Linked DNA regions of Mus musculus. The protein of the gene in region 1 binds, or shares a complex with, the protein of each later gene. Links are inferred from orthologs where the notes say so. Each region holds a gene or a part of one and is shown in the gene's direction. Other genes may lie near its edges.

Evidence for each region. Proteins that work in one complex are often made in the same cells at the same time.
Region 2: the proteins of Izumo1 (region 1) and Izumo1r are in contact, whole or in part, in a crystal structure (PDB 5JKC), measured with the Homo sapiens proteins. The link is inferred for Mus musculus from reciprocal best matches to the Homo sapiens genes IZUMO1 and IZUMO1R. Residues at the interface, in NP_872381.2 of Homo sapiens: Met75, Val77, Tyr134, Val141, Leu146, Trp148, Lys150, Asn151, Lys153, Glu155, Val156, His157, Ala158, Arg160, Lys161, Ser162, Tyr163, Asn239, Ser240, Ser241, Pro242, Ile245; in NP_001186135.1 of Homo sapiens: Lys42, Tyr44, Glu45, Ile48, Leu58, Trp62, His65, Leu66, Asp67, Gly80, Leu81, Leu82, Met83, Pro84, Gly85, Arg87, Ile91, Met145, Ser146, Tyr147, Gln171.

Annotation. Positions count from the first base shown.
Region 1 is NC_000073.6:45,618,808-45,626,646, forward strand, and holds the start of Izumo1 (izumo sperm-egg fusion protein 1 precursor), read left to right. Parts: upstream 1-3,003; 5' UTR 3,004-3,193; intron 3,194-3,914; 5' UTR 3,915-3,989; coding exon 3,990-4,224; intron 4,225-4,486; coding exon 4,487-4,561; intron 4,562-5,327; coding exon 5,328-5,414; intron 5,415-5,854; coding exon 5,855-5,875; intron 5,876-6,121; coding exon 6,122-6,202; intron 6,203-6,314; coding exon 6,315-6,415; intron 6,416-6,734; coding exon 6,735-6,888; intron 6,889-7,215; coding exon 7,216-7,474; intron 7,475-7,839. Other genes in the region: Fut1 (galactoside alpha-(1,2)-fucosyltransferase 1), read left to right, coding at 1-950. UniProt on the Homo sapiens protein: Essential sperm cell-surface protein required for fertilization by acting as a ligand for IZUMO1R/JUNO receptor on egg.
Region 2 is NC_000075.6:14,899,417-14,907,229, reverse strand, and holds Izumo1r (sperm-egg fusion protein Juno isoform 1 precursor), read left to right. Parts: upstream 1-3,462; 5' UTR 3,463-3,517; intron 3,518-3,846; exon of another isoform or gene 3,847-3,938; intron 3,939-4,644; exon of another isoform or gene 4,645-4,685; coding exon of another isoform or gene 4,686-4,709; coding exon 4,710-4,847; intron 4,848-5,393; coding exon 5,394-5,582; intron 5,583-6,358; coding exon 6,359-6,497; coding exon of another isoform or gene 6,498-6,605; coding exon 6,606-6,874; 3' UTR 6,875-7,207; downstream 7,208-7,813. UniProt on the Homo sapiens protein: Receptor for IZUMO1 present at the cell surface of oocytes (oolemma), which is essential for species-specific gamete recognition and fertilization.

The DNA of each region.
Region 1 (7,839 bases):
CATTGCAGACATCTAATGGCTCCCCTTCCTGTCCTGAGCAGTCCTCCTCACTCTCTGGGACTTGGACAATCACCCCAGGAGGCAGGTTTGGTAACCAGATGGGGCAGTATGCTACATTGCTGGCCCTAGCCCAGCTCAATGGTCGCCAAGCCTTCATCCAACCTGAGATGCATGCCGCCCTGGCCCCCGTGTTCCGAATCTCCCTGCCAGTGCTGGACCCTGAGGTGGACAGCCTCACACCTTGGCAGCACTTAGTCCTACATGACTGGATGTCAGAGGAGTACTCCCATCTGGAGGACCCATTTCTCAAGCTGTCTGGTTTCCCCTGCTCTTGGACCTTTTTCCATCATCTTCGGGAACAGATTCGTAGGGAATTCACTCTGCATAACCATCTACGGGAAGGTGCCCAGTACCTGTTGAGCGGGCTCCGTATAGGCCCGGCGGGCATCCGCCCTCATACCTTTGTGGGTGTCCATGTGCGTCGTGGAGACTATCTGGAGGTGATGCCCAATCGCTGGAAGGGTGTGGTGGGTGACCGAGCTTACCTCCAGCAAGCCATGGACTGGTTCCGGGCCCGACACAAAGACCCCATCTTTGTGGTCACCAGCAATGGCATGAAATGGTGTTTGGAGAACATTGACACATCCCATGGTGATGTGGTCTTCGCTGGCAATGGACAGGAGGGTACACCGGGGAAGGACTTTGCACTTCTCACACAGTGTAACCACACCATCATGACTATTGGCACCTTTGGCTTCTGGGCTGCCTACTTAGCTGGTGGAGACACGGTCTACCTTGCAAACTTCACCCTGCCAGATTCGGAGTTTCTGAAGATCTTCAGGCCTGAGGCTGCCTTCCTGCCTGAGTGGGTGGGCATCAATGCAGACTTGTCCCCGCTGCAGGCTCAATTTGACCCCTGGAAGCCAGACAGTCTTTTTAGATTGGTCTGACTCATCAGAAGTCAGCCATCCATGTCTCTATGCTTTGGTGTATGTCTGTGGTAGCCCTGGAGCTGTGGGTACTCATTTCCAGACTTGCACATCAACTTGCTGGAAATGCTGGAATGCTTTGCAGACACTTCAACAGGATATCATTTTCTGATTGCAGGGGAAGCCCAAGTCAGCACTGTAAGCCACAGTCTCTTCCGACTCTTCTGGCTCGTCTTCTTAGAACCTCTGGGCAGCTGTTTCTGGGTTAGGGAGGCTGAAGAAAATCCAGACTTACCAACTGGTCTCCTGGATTTCTGGGGTTATTCTAGGCTGTTTCTGAGAACCTGGTCCAGTCCCTTTGCAACACTCTGCAGGGCCCTCTCAACACTCCAGACAGTGAAGAATTTAATGAAGGTAGATGCAAAAGCTCAGTACTTCCTCACTGCTGGAGGCACGGAGTGATGCTAGAGGCACAGAGTGATGCTGCTGGAGGCACGGAGTGATGCTGGAGGCACGGAGTGATGCTGGAAGCACGGAGTGATGCTGCTGGAGGCACGGAGTGATGCTGGAAGCACGGAGTGATGCTGGAGGCACGGAGTGATTCGAGCCTTTCTGGAGCCAGTCTCTTGTTAGAGAGATGAGAACAATTGGAGGACATATGAATTCTGTCCAACTCCTTGGCCCCAGAGAAACCTGAAAGACTTTTATTTAGGATGGGAAGAGCAAATGGCTATAAGTGGGCTGGAGGAGAGAGCCGCTGTTGAGACACATCTGTCTCGAGGCACGGGGTCTCCTAAAAGATCTAGGAACTTTACAAGAGAGAGAGAGAGAGAGAGAGAGAGAGAGAGAGAGAGAGCTCAAAAGTTAAAGAACAACACAGATTAATCTTGGATTTAGGATCAAGGAGGTTTCTTCTTCTGAAGATGCTATTAGGGGATCTGGGATCTGTTTTCTAGAGGTAACCAGGCCTACAGAAAAGAAGGGCATACCCCTGGGCCCACAAAGTCCCCAAATCTGGCTCTGAGAAGATCCAGGGTAAAGGGTCTGAAGGTGTTCCAGAACCTAGAACCCAGAACCCCGAACCCAGCCTATGCCCCTACAGAAGCCCGGGCTTGAAACAAGGATGGGACGTTTGGCTGAGATTGGGTATGTGTGATGCCTTTTCAAGAATGGAGGAAGGTTCCTCAGATAGCATTTAATCTAACTGTATTTATTCCCTTCCAAGAGCAACTTCTATTCTTCTCAGGGAGTTTCCGGGCACTTTTTCCCAAGTTGGCCTGTACAGGCTGGAGAGGGAGCTGTGAATTAAAGGGCCACATCGCCAATACTTGTATCTGATGTTTTTGGAGCTGTGTACTGCATGTGTTGAGTGTGCAACACAATAAAGGTGTGTGTGTGTGTGTGTGTGTCGACCGAGGACATTCATGTCTCATGGATACAGCACCTACTCAGATCTGGTAACACTTGCTGCAAGAGGACTTGTGGTCCAATTTCCTTTCTCTGAAATTTTCATTATTGGCTACCAGACTTGTCATATGTTTTGTCTTATTTTGAGATAATCCAGGCTGGCCTAGAATTCACTCTGTAGACCAAGCTGGCCTGGAATTTGTGGCGATCTTCTTGTTTCAGTCTCCCAAGAGCTAGGACTACACATGTGGGTCACCATGCTTGGATCCAGGACTCTCCTTAACATGGTTTGAGGCAAGAAAGGAAGAATATCACTATCAACTATGTTTTCCATGTTGTGGGACAGATCATAAAGAAAGAGACGCTCCAGTGCTTTCTGGGAGTTGTAGTCCCAGTTTAGAAGACAAGCCACTTCCTGCATATCCTTATCTAGACACCAAGGTTTCCAATCAGCCAGAGGGCATCCTGCGGAAAACCTGGGGTCTACAAAGACCTGAAAGGAGGCTAGGGCAGGTTACTGGCTTTCGTTCAGGTCGGTGCTGGGAAAGTTCTACTATGGACTGCCACCCTATGACGTCACGATGGGATGGGCGGGGCCTACTTTGTTGCAGCCCAATTAAACTTGAGAGTTTGATTTCTGGGCGGGGCCTAAGAGTCAGGAAATAAGGGGATGACCGGTGACTCTTGGAGTCAGTAGAAAAACCCTAAATTACTCTCCCCAGTCTTCCAAGGAAAACCTTACTCTTAGTCGTGAGAAAGTATTTTAAAAAGTCCTCAGAACCTGGACTGAGCTGGGTGAAGCATTAGCGCTTGAGGGCGCGGAATTGGAAAGCGGCTTTTAAAGGGTGTTGTTTAAGGTACTGGGGGGCCTGAGAAGAGTCTGTCCTGAAAGGGGTCTCAGCCTTGAGGAAGAGTAGACAGGTACCCCAGAGACTGGAGGATGGCTTTGGAGGCATGCTGAAGTTTTTCCAGGTTTAAGTATCAGCTTTAAGGATTTGGGGTTTAAAACTTTTTATTCTGAAACCTTTTAAGTTTGGTAATATCCAAGTTGGTTACTTATTAGATAAATTGTTTACTATTTATTTAATTAATTTTATTAATATTTTATTAATATTTAGTTAATTAATTTTGAGACAATCTCAAGTAGGCCATGGTGGTCTTGACTTAGCCTCTCAAGTGCTGCTACCTGGATTTTTTTTTTTTTTTTTTGATGGTTTCTCGAGTTTGACTATTGAATGTCTAGTTTGTGGTGTCACAAGTTTTCCTGGCTAGAGAGTCTAAATGTTGATCTATTCTTAGGTTCAGAGTTAAGAAAACATGTGAGTTTGGGGTAGCTGGAGAGTGAACCCATGAGTGGGAAGTTTGAATGGTGTGTGGATGGAGATGGTCCTGAATTTGGGATCTGACGTAATAGTTTTCAGGGATGCAATGAGGACCAAAAAAATTTGAGGTTGGGGAGTCCAAGTTCACAACTTTGGGTCTTTGATTAGTGATATCTCCTTTTATTCGGGAATATCCCAAAGAATACCTCATATTGAGCTCTGGAATCCTCTAAGACTGATTTTGGCTTCTGTTTAGCGCCCTCCCCCCTGCCCTCTGTTTGGGGTGAGAGGATCCTCTGGCGGTGCTGGCAAGCTGTGCGTTCTGGCCTTCATGGGGCCGCATTTTACACTCTTGCTGGCAGCTCTTGCCAACTGCCTGTGTCCAGGGAGGCCCTGCATCAAATGTGACCAGTTTGTGACAGATGCGCTAAAGACTTTCGAAAACACTTACCTGAATGACCACCTGCCACACGACATTCACAAAAATGTAATGAGGATGGTGAACCATGAAGTATCGAGCTTCGGCGTAGTCACTTCGGCTGAGGATTCCTATTTGGGGGCCGTGGGTAAGGAGGGCAGGTCAAGATGCAGACCTCGGGAGCTTGGGAGAGGAAGGGCTGGGGCAAGAAGTCCCAGTCTAGGGGTGACAGGGACTGTAGGTAGAATGAAAAAGTGGCTGGGTGTAGTAGTCCACGCCTTTATTCCCGGTACTTGGGAGGCAGAGGCGGGTCTCTCTTTGCCCGATGGCTTCATGGGTATTGGAGTTACTATGAGCTAGAAAAGCTGGAGTCTGGAGTCTAGGGTTCTATATCTGCCCTCCACACACAGACGAGAACACACTGGAACAAGCAACCTGGAGTTTTCTGAAGGATCTGAAGCGTATTACAGACAGTGACTTAAAAGGTAAATGTGCCCAAAGATATGGGCAGATCCTCAGAAGTCATGGCTGGTGACACTTCAAACAGAAGTTAAGATTCATGCCTCTGCTTGGGTGCCATTGTGGCCCTGCCACTTCTTAGCCAAGTGACCCTGAGCCTGGGGCCTGGCAACTTTCACAGCCTCGACGTGGAAGTCCTGACCATCTTCCTTTCTCACTGGCTGTGAGGCCTGAGGGAAGTAAGACGTGCATTTTATAGCCCGATGACGGCAAGTTCGGTGCTTGATCGGATTGTTCTCCTGGAAAGGGCTAGACTATGAAATGCTAGCCCAGACAGGTGGGGCACGCCTGCACTCCCAGCTACTCAGGAGGCTGAGGCAGGAGAATTGCTTAAACCTAAAGTTCCAGAACAGCTCAGGCAATATAATGACATCCTTTCTAAGCAAATAAGAAAAAGAGGTGGAGCTGGCTGTGGTGGCGCACGCCTTTAATCCCAGCACTGGGGAGGCAGAGGCTGCCAGATCTCTGAGTTTGAGACCAGCCTGGTCTACACGGAAAGTTCTAGGCCAGCCAGAACTCATGGTGAGAGAAGAGAGGAAAAAATTAGGGGTTGGGATGTTGGGTATGGTGGTGCATGCTTGAAGACGGAGGCAGAAGAATCAGGCGTTCAAGGTCATCTTCAGCTACATAGTGAGTCTGAAGCCACTTATAGTACCTGTAGTGTACGGAATGCTAGACTGCACCTCGCCTCTGAGTGTCGGGGGCATCTCTTTTGGCTCTGTTTCCTCCTAGGAGAGCTCTTTATAAAGGAACTATTGTGGATGCTTCGTCATCAAAAGGACATCTTTAACAATCTTGCTAGACAGTTCCAAAAGGAAGGTGAGGGAAGGTGGAGGCGTAAGACACACCCACTGCCACCACTGGCTTCCTTAACTCCACCTCCACTCGCGCCCTCAGGAGCACCTCCCCCAGGTCCTTCCCTCCCTGCCCCACAGCTCCTAAATCGCAGACCTTTCTGTTCCACATCCACTCCTCCCTCTGGGGCTTGGTAGCAAAGCCTGTCATTCCAGCACTTGGAAGACTGAGGCAGGAGGATTGCAAGTTTGAGGCCACCTTGGGCTTAATGCCGACAGGCTGAGCCTACCCCTGTGAGTGAGTATAGGACTTGATGGGTGGAGGCAGGAAGTGGGGAGCTCCAGGTCCTCTTTATCCACAGCAAGTTTGAGACTAGCCTGGGCTACGCGAGACTCCTTTCTAAAAACAAAAATAAATCTGATTTTCTTTCTCTTTCCCTCCCTCCTTTCTCCCTTTGGAGGCAGTTCTTTGTCCCAACAAATGCGGTAAGTCCAATACGCATAACCTGTTCTTATTGCCCCATGGGCCTCCCCTCTGACCAGTCCTTGGACCTCCAGCACTCTCTCCAACTTGGGTTTCTTAGATAGTGAGCAGTGTTGTAGTTGCTCCCCTTCAGCAGGGTACTAACAATCTAGATAATGCAGATAGCTGCCCAGCCCTTGACCTGGACAAATTCTCTGTTCAGCCCTGCCTCTGAGAGGGAGACTACAACTTTAACCTTTGCCCTTTAGGAGTGATGTCGCAGACTTTGATCTGGTGTCTTAAGTGCGAAAAGCAGTTGCACATTTGTCGGAAATCCCTAGATTGTGGAGGTGAGGATGCCACCCAGCATAAGAGCCCAGTGTGAGAGGGGGGACAGGGCCTATAAGAGGCAGCTGCAGCAAGGCTCCTGCAGAAGTAGCTGCAGCTCCCTCTTTTGCACAGAGCGCCACATAGAGGTACATCGCTCGGAAGACCTGGTCCTGGACTGTCTGCTCAGTTGGCATCGTGCTTCTAAGGGACTTACAGATTACAGTTTTTACAGGGTGGGAACATCCGACTCCCTTGATCCTAAGTCTGTTAGACCTTTATGAGCCCCTGGGTCCCCTGCCCTGAACCAGGCCTTCACGGCCTGTTAGAGGTATCCTCTAATGATCCTTAGAGAGATCCCATACCCTGACCAGGGACTCGCTGTTGCCAGCCACGATCCTGTGGATGGCAGCCAGTCTAGGATGCCTCCTGTCAGGATTAGGGAGGTCAGGAGTCCTGATTCCTTCTTCCCCTGCACCCCAGGCCCCCTGTACTCCCCCACCTCCCAGTTCCCAAATTCCCCAGGCCTCTGTGACCCCTTGAGCTTGGGTCTAGGTTTGGGAGAACAGTTCTGAGACCTTGATTGCCAAGGGGAAAGAACCATATCTGACCAAGTCGATGGTGGGTCCAGAGGATGCTGGCAACTACCGCTGTGTGCTAGATACCATCAACCAAGGTCATGCCACCGTCATCCGCTACGATGTCACAGGTCAGTCTGGGGTGTTGGAAAAGTGGCATTCGGGGTGGGAGAAGCTCTGGAGGTGTGGCCTCGTCCACGGGACCAGATTTACTTGGCATGGCCTTGTTATTGGGTTTGTGGCTTTGGCTATAAACAGGGTCTGTGATGAGAGGTGTGGCTTCCCTTAGAAGGTGTGTTTTCTGGTCTTGGAGGTATGGTTTCCTGCCTAACTGGGTTGTCTTAGGCTTCAGTTGGACTTACTGGGGTGTGCCCACCCTTTAGAGAAGGCTAGGGTTTTGGGGTAGGCTTGCAGTTATTGGCTGCTGCCAGGACTGCCCTATGGTTCTCCTCTGTCAGTATTGCCCCCAAAGCATTCAGAGGAAAACCAACCACCGAACATCATAACCCAAGAGGAGCACGAGACTCCTGTCCACGTGACTCCACAGACACCACCGGGGCAGGAGCCAGAGTCGGAGCTGTACCCGGAGCTGCACCCAGAGTTGTACCCGGAGCTCATACCTACAGTCGCTCAAAATCCAGAGAAAAAAATGAAAACTCGCCTCTTAATACTGTTGACCCTTGGCTTTGTGGTTCTTGTGGCCAGCATCATTATCTCGTGAGCTGTTCACCAGGAAATTTAAAGGGAGGGTGGGCCTTAGATAAAGTGGACTTGGGTGAAGGGAAGAGACGCAGGTGCAGTGGAGGAAAAGCAGGAATGAGACAAGCTTTGAAAGGAGCATGTCTTTTTTTTTTCCATTTTTTTATTAGGTATTTAGCTCATTTACATTTCCAATGCTATACCAAAAGTCCCCCATACCCACCCACCCCCACTCCCCTACCCACCCCCTCCCCCTTTTTGGCCCTGGCATTCCCCTGTACTGGGGCATATAAAGTTTGTGTGTCCAATGGGCCGGAGCATGTCTTGATAGAGGACTTGGGGGTCTGGGTAAGAGGGGGGCTTGAAGACAGAGGCAGGCTTGA
Region 2 (7,813 bases), on another chromosome or scaffold:
AATAGGGTTTATGTTGTCCTTTCAAAATAAGTTCTCTCATGGTTTGAATTATATAAGGAAAAGGATAAGAGAATGGGAGGAGACAAGAAATACTTTTAAAGATGGGAGAAAGATGTCTGAGAGGAGGAGGATGGGAAAGAAAGGGAGAGAATAGAAGAGAGGTGGGCTAGGTCATAGTAAACTGGGGAGCTGTCTGGACCAGTGTTGCTGCTTTCTAAAGGCACATAACATGAGACTCTTGCTCGGGCATGTGTCTGCCTGAACTGTGTACAGAAGGGAGGCTGAGGGAGACTGACAGGTGCTCATGGGGCAAAAGGCAGCGGTGGGAACAAAGCTATAACATCAGACCCAAGAGAGCATCTCCCCACACCAAGGAGCTTCATCCCTCGTGGGCAGGGGCAAGCAGTCCCTTCTGGGAACCAGAACCGAGTAGGAGTCCCTAGACACTGAGGCTGAGGGCGAGTGGACTGTGAGAGAGTAAACCTTGCCAAGGAGCCACGTTTTGGGAGCAGGGCAGTTACAGATTTTCGAGAGTCAAATGCTCTGCAGTGCACGCAAAAGGAAGGAGCTGAGTTCTGTCTGTGAAAGCAAGGGTAGGTGAAAGGAGAGAAGTGATTTTATAAAGTTGTCCTCTGACTGGATACATAGTCTATGGCACAAATGCCCACTCCATCACACACACACACACAAACAATTAATTCAGAATAGGAAAAAATGGACCTCAGATTAGAACAGAGAAATAAATGGATACTAGATTAAATAGGGCCTGTGAGGACCTGGAGATATGGTCAGTGGTTAAGAGCACTGGCTGCTCTTCCAGAGGACCTGGGTTCAATTCCCAGCATCCACATGGCAGCTCACAACTGTCTAAAACTCCTGTTCCAGAGATGTGACACCCTCACATAGACATACTAAACAGCAATGTACATGAAATTAAAACAATTTAAGCCCACAAACCATGAACAGTTACTTAAATGTATACAAAGATTTTAAATGTGAACATCTGGCAACCATCTTTATGTTTTTAAAGGATCATTCTGGATTTTTTTTTTAAATCATGACAGATATTATCTGGCTAACGATGTGTTTGAATTACTTGGAAGTGCACTGATTTCCTGCTTTGAGAAGCTCAGGGGACAGATTCCTCAAGAAAGAGATGGATGGTTGGCTCAAACTAACATAAAACACAAAACAGAACGTATAAAATCAAATTGGAGATGAGTATCCACTGTGAAGTTCTCTCAACTTTCCCGATGTTGGCAGATGTTAGAGTAACGCCCTGGGAAGTTTTACCGTTTTGACTGTTGCATGGATATTGCCTTGGAGGGAACCAGGGAGCCTGGTTGGAGTCTCTGAGCACTACCCCTGCTGCAGGAAGAACAGGAGCTTAAGCCAACAACACCTCACATTAGATTGAACCATCCAGAGTGAGAGGCACGCTGCCCTCTGCCAGAGCTACAAACTTGCAAGGGAGTTTAATTATTCAGGGGGTAAGGAGGATACTTGAGAAGAAGAGTTCCTGTCAGGCCTTGGCACTGGCTGCAGACTTCAGATACCCTGGGGTGTCCTAGCTTTTTTGTTTTTTGTTTGTCTTCAAATGCATTGCTTTGGATGACCTGATAACCCAAACGGTGGGAAGACAGGACAGGCATCACCATCCAGCATCCCTGTCACTTCAGGTCACCCCATTCACTGCCCCTCCCTCCCCCTTCAGAATGCCTTTAACTGCCTGCCCCTCTTCCCCTGGTCTTTAATCTGTTGCTGTTTTCGGCTGCTTGAGTGGCTCCATCCACAGCCAGCCCTGATTTAGCAGCCTTCAATCGGAAAACAGATTTCTCTGGAAGACTGGGACAAAATAAGGCAAAATGAGCTCTGTTCAAGGGCCTCACAGCACTTCTCTAGGGACAGATGCTTGGCCTGGAGCTCTCTGCAATCACCCCTCCCCCACTGCACCTGCATCCATGCTGGCTGCAATTTTGACACAATTCCTATAGCTCTGTCCTGGAGGTGGCTAAGAGAGTCCTCCTTATCTCTCTCCCTCCTTGTGGAGGACATTTTTCCATTCCAGTAATGACTCGTGTGACTCATTTTTGGATTCTTGCTCTTGCCACATCCACAGTCATTTTAAATTTAATGTTCAGTTCCAAAACGCTTACTTGTCAAGACTTGTTGCTCCCTGGGTGTCTATACAGGACAGACGTGAGTACCTGCCTCTGCTGTCCCTGTGGACACCGATACAAAAGAGACCCTCGAAGCAGAAATGCCTTTCCATTTGGCCTCTGGCTTCAGGAAATGAGTCTCAGCTCTGTTGAAGACCAGACATGCAAGTTGGGCTGATAACCATTACTGCTCTGTTCCGGAAAAGCCAACACACCCCCACCCCCAAAGTCTGACTGTGACGTTTAATTTTTTTAAAGATCTGGATAGTTTCTACCCCTCAGTCCTGGGGGCATCCCCCTCACCTGGTTCATAAGCATTAAATATGGAGTCAAACAAGCCTTTCTCAGATTCTAGCTCCATCAACCTCTGTCCGAGCCTCAGTATCCCCTACAAAAGAGAGTGCTCATTTGGGGTATTCTTGCAGGCAGTAAGCCAGACTGTGTACCAGTGCCCTAGCCTCCAGCCCCGTGACTAGTCCTCGTGGATGTTCAGTACTCCATACCCACGCATGGAAACTGCTATTTTCCCTGCACAAAATCAATGTGCTTTGTACATTGACTGGCAGCTGAACACCGTGTGCTGTACTTTGTCTTCCTTGGTGGAAATCACAAGGAATGTTTTTATTTATTTACTACTTTTTGTATGAAATTTCAGTGATTTTTGGCTACTTTTCCTTTGGAGACAGAACATAAAAGACAAGCAAAGTTATGGGCATCACCTCCAATGGGACCTTTGGAGCAGCGATCAGACCAGGCACAGGGTGCAAATGCAGGCTGCCCCTGGTGGCCCTGAGGGGCGGCTTTTGTTTCAGCTTTGATTGTTGCTTAAATTCTTGGCTGGCCAAGCTGCCTGTCTGTGCACCTGCGTGCTGCTAAGCTAGACCCGGATGCTGTGGGAGGATTCTGTTACTCAGAGGCCCCAGGGGTCTGAGCAGAGGAAGGGACCCGAGGAAGCTTCTGAGAACAAAAGATGAAGGACTGTTAAGACATCCCTGGGCTGTGAACTTTTCATGATCCCTCTCACCCCACCCCCACCCCCCACCCCGCCGGACAGATTCTGCCAACAGCTCTCATTACAGAGCAACAGACTGATAGAATCTAAGTTATTTCCAAGTTCTCACAGGTTAGAAGCAGTGCTGAGAGTTGAACTTGCCACCCACTTCAGGGATCTCTGGTACCACAAGGTCTTGTTTCTCTCTCTCTCTTGGAGGCAGGCTACTCAGGTCTAGCTACTGGCGGCTCTCCACACCTGTAGCTCATAGAAGCTGAAGGCTGATAAAAGGGCAGTGGGTGGAGCGCCCTCAGCCCGCTCACCTCTTTGGCATCAGGAGGAGCAACAGGAGGGCCCTGCCTTGAAGGTACATCTGAAGACAATGCTGAGGGGGCTGGTGTCTTTCCTCTCTTCATCTTACCTTCCCGGTCTTTCAGAATAGTTGTTCTTTGTGCAAACTTGGAGCTGGCTCTGTGGAAGAACAGTCTTGGGTTTGGAGTTCAGGATGGGTTCTGCAGAAGAGTCTGGGTCTCTAAGTCACATCTCAGACATCCTGAGGTAGACTACTACTCCGGCTAAACTGCTGATGTGTAGGGCAGGCTCCCAGCAAGCCTAGGTGACGTAAGACCCATGAAGTCCTGGCAGTGAGGACTGACTGGAGCCCTCCTGAAGCCGGGTTTGCCCTTGTTCTAGCAGAGGGGCGATCTCTCTGTCCAGCCTCTCCACCACCGCCCCCCATTGCCAGTACAACCCAGAAGAGAACTGGAAATGTATCAGCAAACACCAAGGTACAAGCCAGCCTTCGTGTTCCTGTGCTAGGATGAGGGCTTAAAGGTGGAAGTCTCCTCAGCCCCTAGCCCTGAGAGGCCAGCAGGGGTCTTAGGCTGTCTGTTACAGCCTGACACATAGGGTGTCTCTGAGATAGACTGGGGTTGGTTGAAATGAGCTAAGGAAAGCTCATTGGTTGAAGGGTCAGGGTGGGGATGAACTACTCTGAGGAGCTGGTGTGGACCCTTCCTAGGGAATAGAACTAGGGTTGGCATGTGATGGATAAAGCTGGCTTTGACATCCCACCCCACCATGTTCTTTTGCCATAAGGAGAATCTGTTTACTGGGAATTGGTTACTTGGCCAAGAGGCTGGCTGTGGGCTGGGATTAAAGCTCTAAACTTCGAATCCATATTATTACCAAACTAGCAAACTGTATCTAAGTGAGCAGCTTAGATCCATTCCTTGCCTGGCCTCCTCTTCAGAGCTGCTGTTTGTTTGTTTGTTTGTTTTTCTTTTTCTTCTCTTTTCCCCTGTTGGTCAGTTTGCTTTCTACATTCCTGCAATGGTTTGTAATGAGTGCCAGATCCAAGTCTTACTCTACATTCTGTGATGCTGCTCTACACAGAAGGTTCTAGGAGCAGCCAGAATATTTCAGCAACCTAAGGAAGCCTTGGAGCCCCTCCTCCCTCTTCAGTGCCTGGTGGTTGGCAGGAGTGGGGTGGGTGTTACCTTCCTGGTCTTTCAGAAGACTAGGTTCTCTTTACCATGGGCTTCTCTCTGTGGCAGGTCATGGCACAGTGGTGGCAGATCCTCTTGGGGTTGTGGGCAGTCCTACCCACCTTGGCAGGGGACAAACTGCTCAGCGTCTGCATGAATTCCAAGCGCCACAAGCAAGAACCTGGCCCAGAAGACGAACTCTACCAGGAGGTACAGAGCAGCGCTGGCCCAGGGGCTAGGGCAGCTTCTTAGGATTATTTGAGAAGAAATACAGACCAGGTGGTCTCTGTACCCCACCACCCCTAATCATTTAGATCCTTAATTTGGGGTCCATCTAGGGCTTTGCCACTAAGCTGTTCTGGCCGCTTGGGAAACAGGTCATGTGGTGATCCCAGAGGCTATGCTAGCTAACCGTGGGTCAGAGCAAGCCTCCCTGCCAACATGCGCTGGCGAGACAGACCTTAATTTGTCTCCTTGTCAGTTTCCTAAAGGCTGTGGGAGGAGGAACATTCCAACGAGAAGCTCCTCCCACCCGTGATAACCACCCAGGTTCCTGAATCTTTCTATTTGCTTTCCTGGATTTATTGCCCCACCCCCACCCCCTGGAGCAGACACCTGGAAGCTATACTTTGTGGCAAGAAGGCAGAGGGGAGGGAGGTCAATGGTCAGGTGCGCCTCATTCTTCAGATACTAGAGTTCCTCCTCTAGAGAGGTGCTCATATCCCCTCTCCTGACGCCCTTCTGCCCCCACCTCAGTGCAGGCCTTGGGAGGACAATGCCTGCTGCACACGTTCCACAAGTTGGGAAGCCCACCTTGAGGAGCCCTTGCTCTTTAACTTCAGCATGATGCACTGTGGACTGCTGACCCCGGCCTGTCGCAAGCACTTCATCCAGGCCATCTGCTTCCATGAGTGTTCCCCCAACCTGGGGCCTTGGATCCAGCCGGTGAGGACATAGGAGACAGGAGGCAGACTCATGCAACACCCTTCCATTCAATCCTAGGCTGGCATCTACAGGAGGCAAGTAGGAACAGGAGATGCTGCCCCTCTAGGGATAAGAGCAGAGCCAGAGGTCTCTGCTGGAGACAGGGATGAAAAGGAAGCTAAAATGCCTCTGTCCCTGCATGATAACATGACAGACACTGTCTGATGAGGGCCAGTAGGATAAGGCAGGGTGGAATGAGATGAATCTGAGTGTGAATTCTATCTCCTGTACTTACTAACTGTAAGGCCTGGGACCAATGAGCTGCTCTGCCTCACGGTTCTCATTTATCCAATAATTGATGATGATGATGATGATGCCGATGATGATGCCTAGGGCTGAGAGATAGCTTAGTCAGTGAAGTGCTTATCACTATGCATGAGGACCTTAGTTCAATCCTTATTTAAAAAAAAAAAAAAAGCCAGATGTGGAGGTATGTTGCTATAATCCCAGCACTGCAGAGGCAGAGACAGGTGGGTCCCAGGAGCTTGCTTGCCAGCCAGCCTAGCCTGCTTGGTCAGGTCTAGGCCAAAGAGAAAATCCGAACCAATGTGGATGGTGCCTGAAGACCAATACTTGAGGTTGTTCCCTGGGCTCTGCAGAGAGAGGCATGGGTGCTAGCATGCGTGCACGCACACACATTCGCCTGCATTTACAGAATGTAAACACGTGCACGCGGAGAGAAGAAATAATACTTACATTGTAAAGAATTAAAATATGCCCCTCTCTTCTGCATCCAGGTGGTCCCAAACGGGCAGGAAGAGCAGCGGGTTTGGGGCGTGCCGCTGTGCCAGGAGGATTGTGAGGACTGGTGGCGAGCCTGCCACTCATCTTTGACTTGTAAATCCAACTGGCTCCATGGCTGGGACTGGAGTGAGGGTGAGTGGATTAACTACGCACTTGTGGCCCTCAGACTGGGTGAGGCTGCACGGGGCTCAGAAGGGAAGGGACAGTGGAAAGTTAGGAGCCCGTTCTCAATCCCCACAGAGAAGAAACACTGCCCCGCACATGAGCCCTGCCTCCCTTTTTCGTATCACTTCCCCACCCCGGATGACCTGTGTGAGAAGATCTGGAACAACACATTCAAGGCCAGTCCCGAGCGCAGGAACAGTGGGCGGTGTCTGCAGAAGTGGTTTGAGCCCACCCTTAGCAACCCCAACGTGGAAGTGGCCCTCCACTTTGCCGGCTCTGCCTTAGCCCCACAGCTCTCTTACACCCTCCCAGCCTTCTCTCTGTGCCTGTTGTTCCATCCCTGATCCCTGCTTCCCTCTCCAACCCACATTTCCTGATCCTTCTGGGCCATGGCCATCTCCATCCTCAGGCTATTCATGTTGGGGGCAGGCTGGCACCTGAATTTCTCATGCCTCCCAGGGTCCCCTCCATGCTTGGCTCCATCTCCACTGGTCTGGATGGCAGCTGGTACCCAGCAGTCTACGGTGCCTCATTTCTCCTGCCTTTACAAATGGGCACTACTATAGGACTCCGGCGCTTCTTCTGTCCACAGCCATCTCTTTTGTGACAGAGACAATGCTGACAGCCAAGCGACATGTCCTATCATGGTACCTTCAATAAAAGGCTAGGAAACTCTACTCTCCATGTGTCATTCTGGTCTAGTCCCATGAGCACCAATCCAAGATGCATCGAGAGAGCTGCCTTGCCTTCATTAAGATTTTAATTTCCTTGACTATTAAGGGGTATGAGAATTGTTAATATTTATTTGTCATTTGGAATGTTTTTCTCTTATACACTGTGTGTGTGTGTGTGTGTGTGTGTGTGTCCCTTCCTTTCTTCTCTCCCCTTCTCTTTTCTTGAGAAAGACTCTCATGAATCCCAGGTTGGCCCTGGAACTCAAGGATGACCTTAAACCTCATCTTCTTCCGTCCACCTTCCAGTTCTGGGCTTATCCACATATGCCATCGCCCCTGGTCTCGGGCTGTGCTAGGGAGCTAACCTGCTAGGCAAGTACCCTAACAACTGAACCATATCCACAGTCATGACGTGCTGGTCTTGAATTTTGGACCCTTGACTTCTAAGCTGCTTTTTTCTACTTTCTAATACACCCAACCCCCCACCCCCGTGTTGAGAACTGACCCTGGTCTTATGCTTGCTAGGCGCATGTTTTACCACTCAGCTAAATCCCCAAAGCCTTTCCACTGCTCTGTAACTCTTGACAATTCTTTTGATCTTCATGTCAA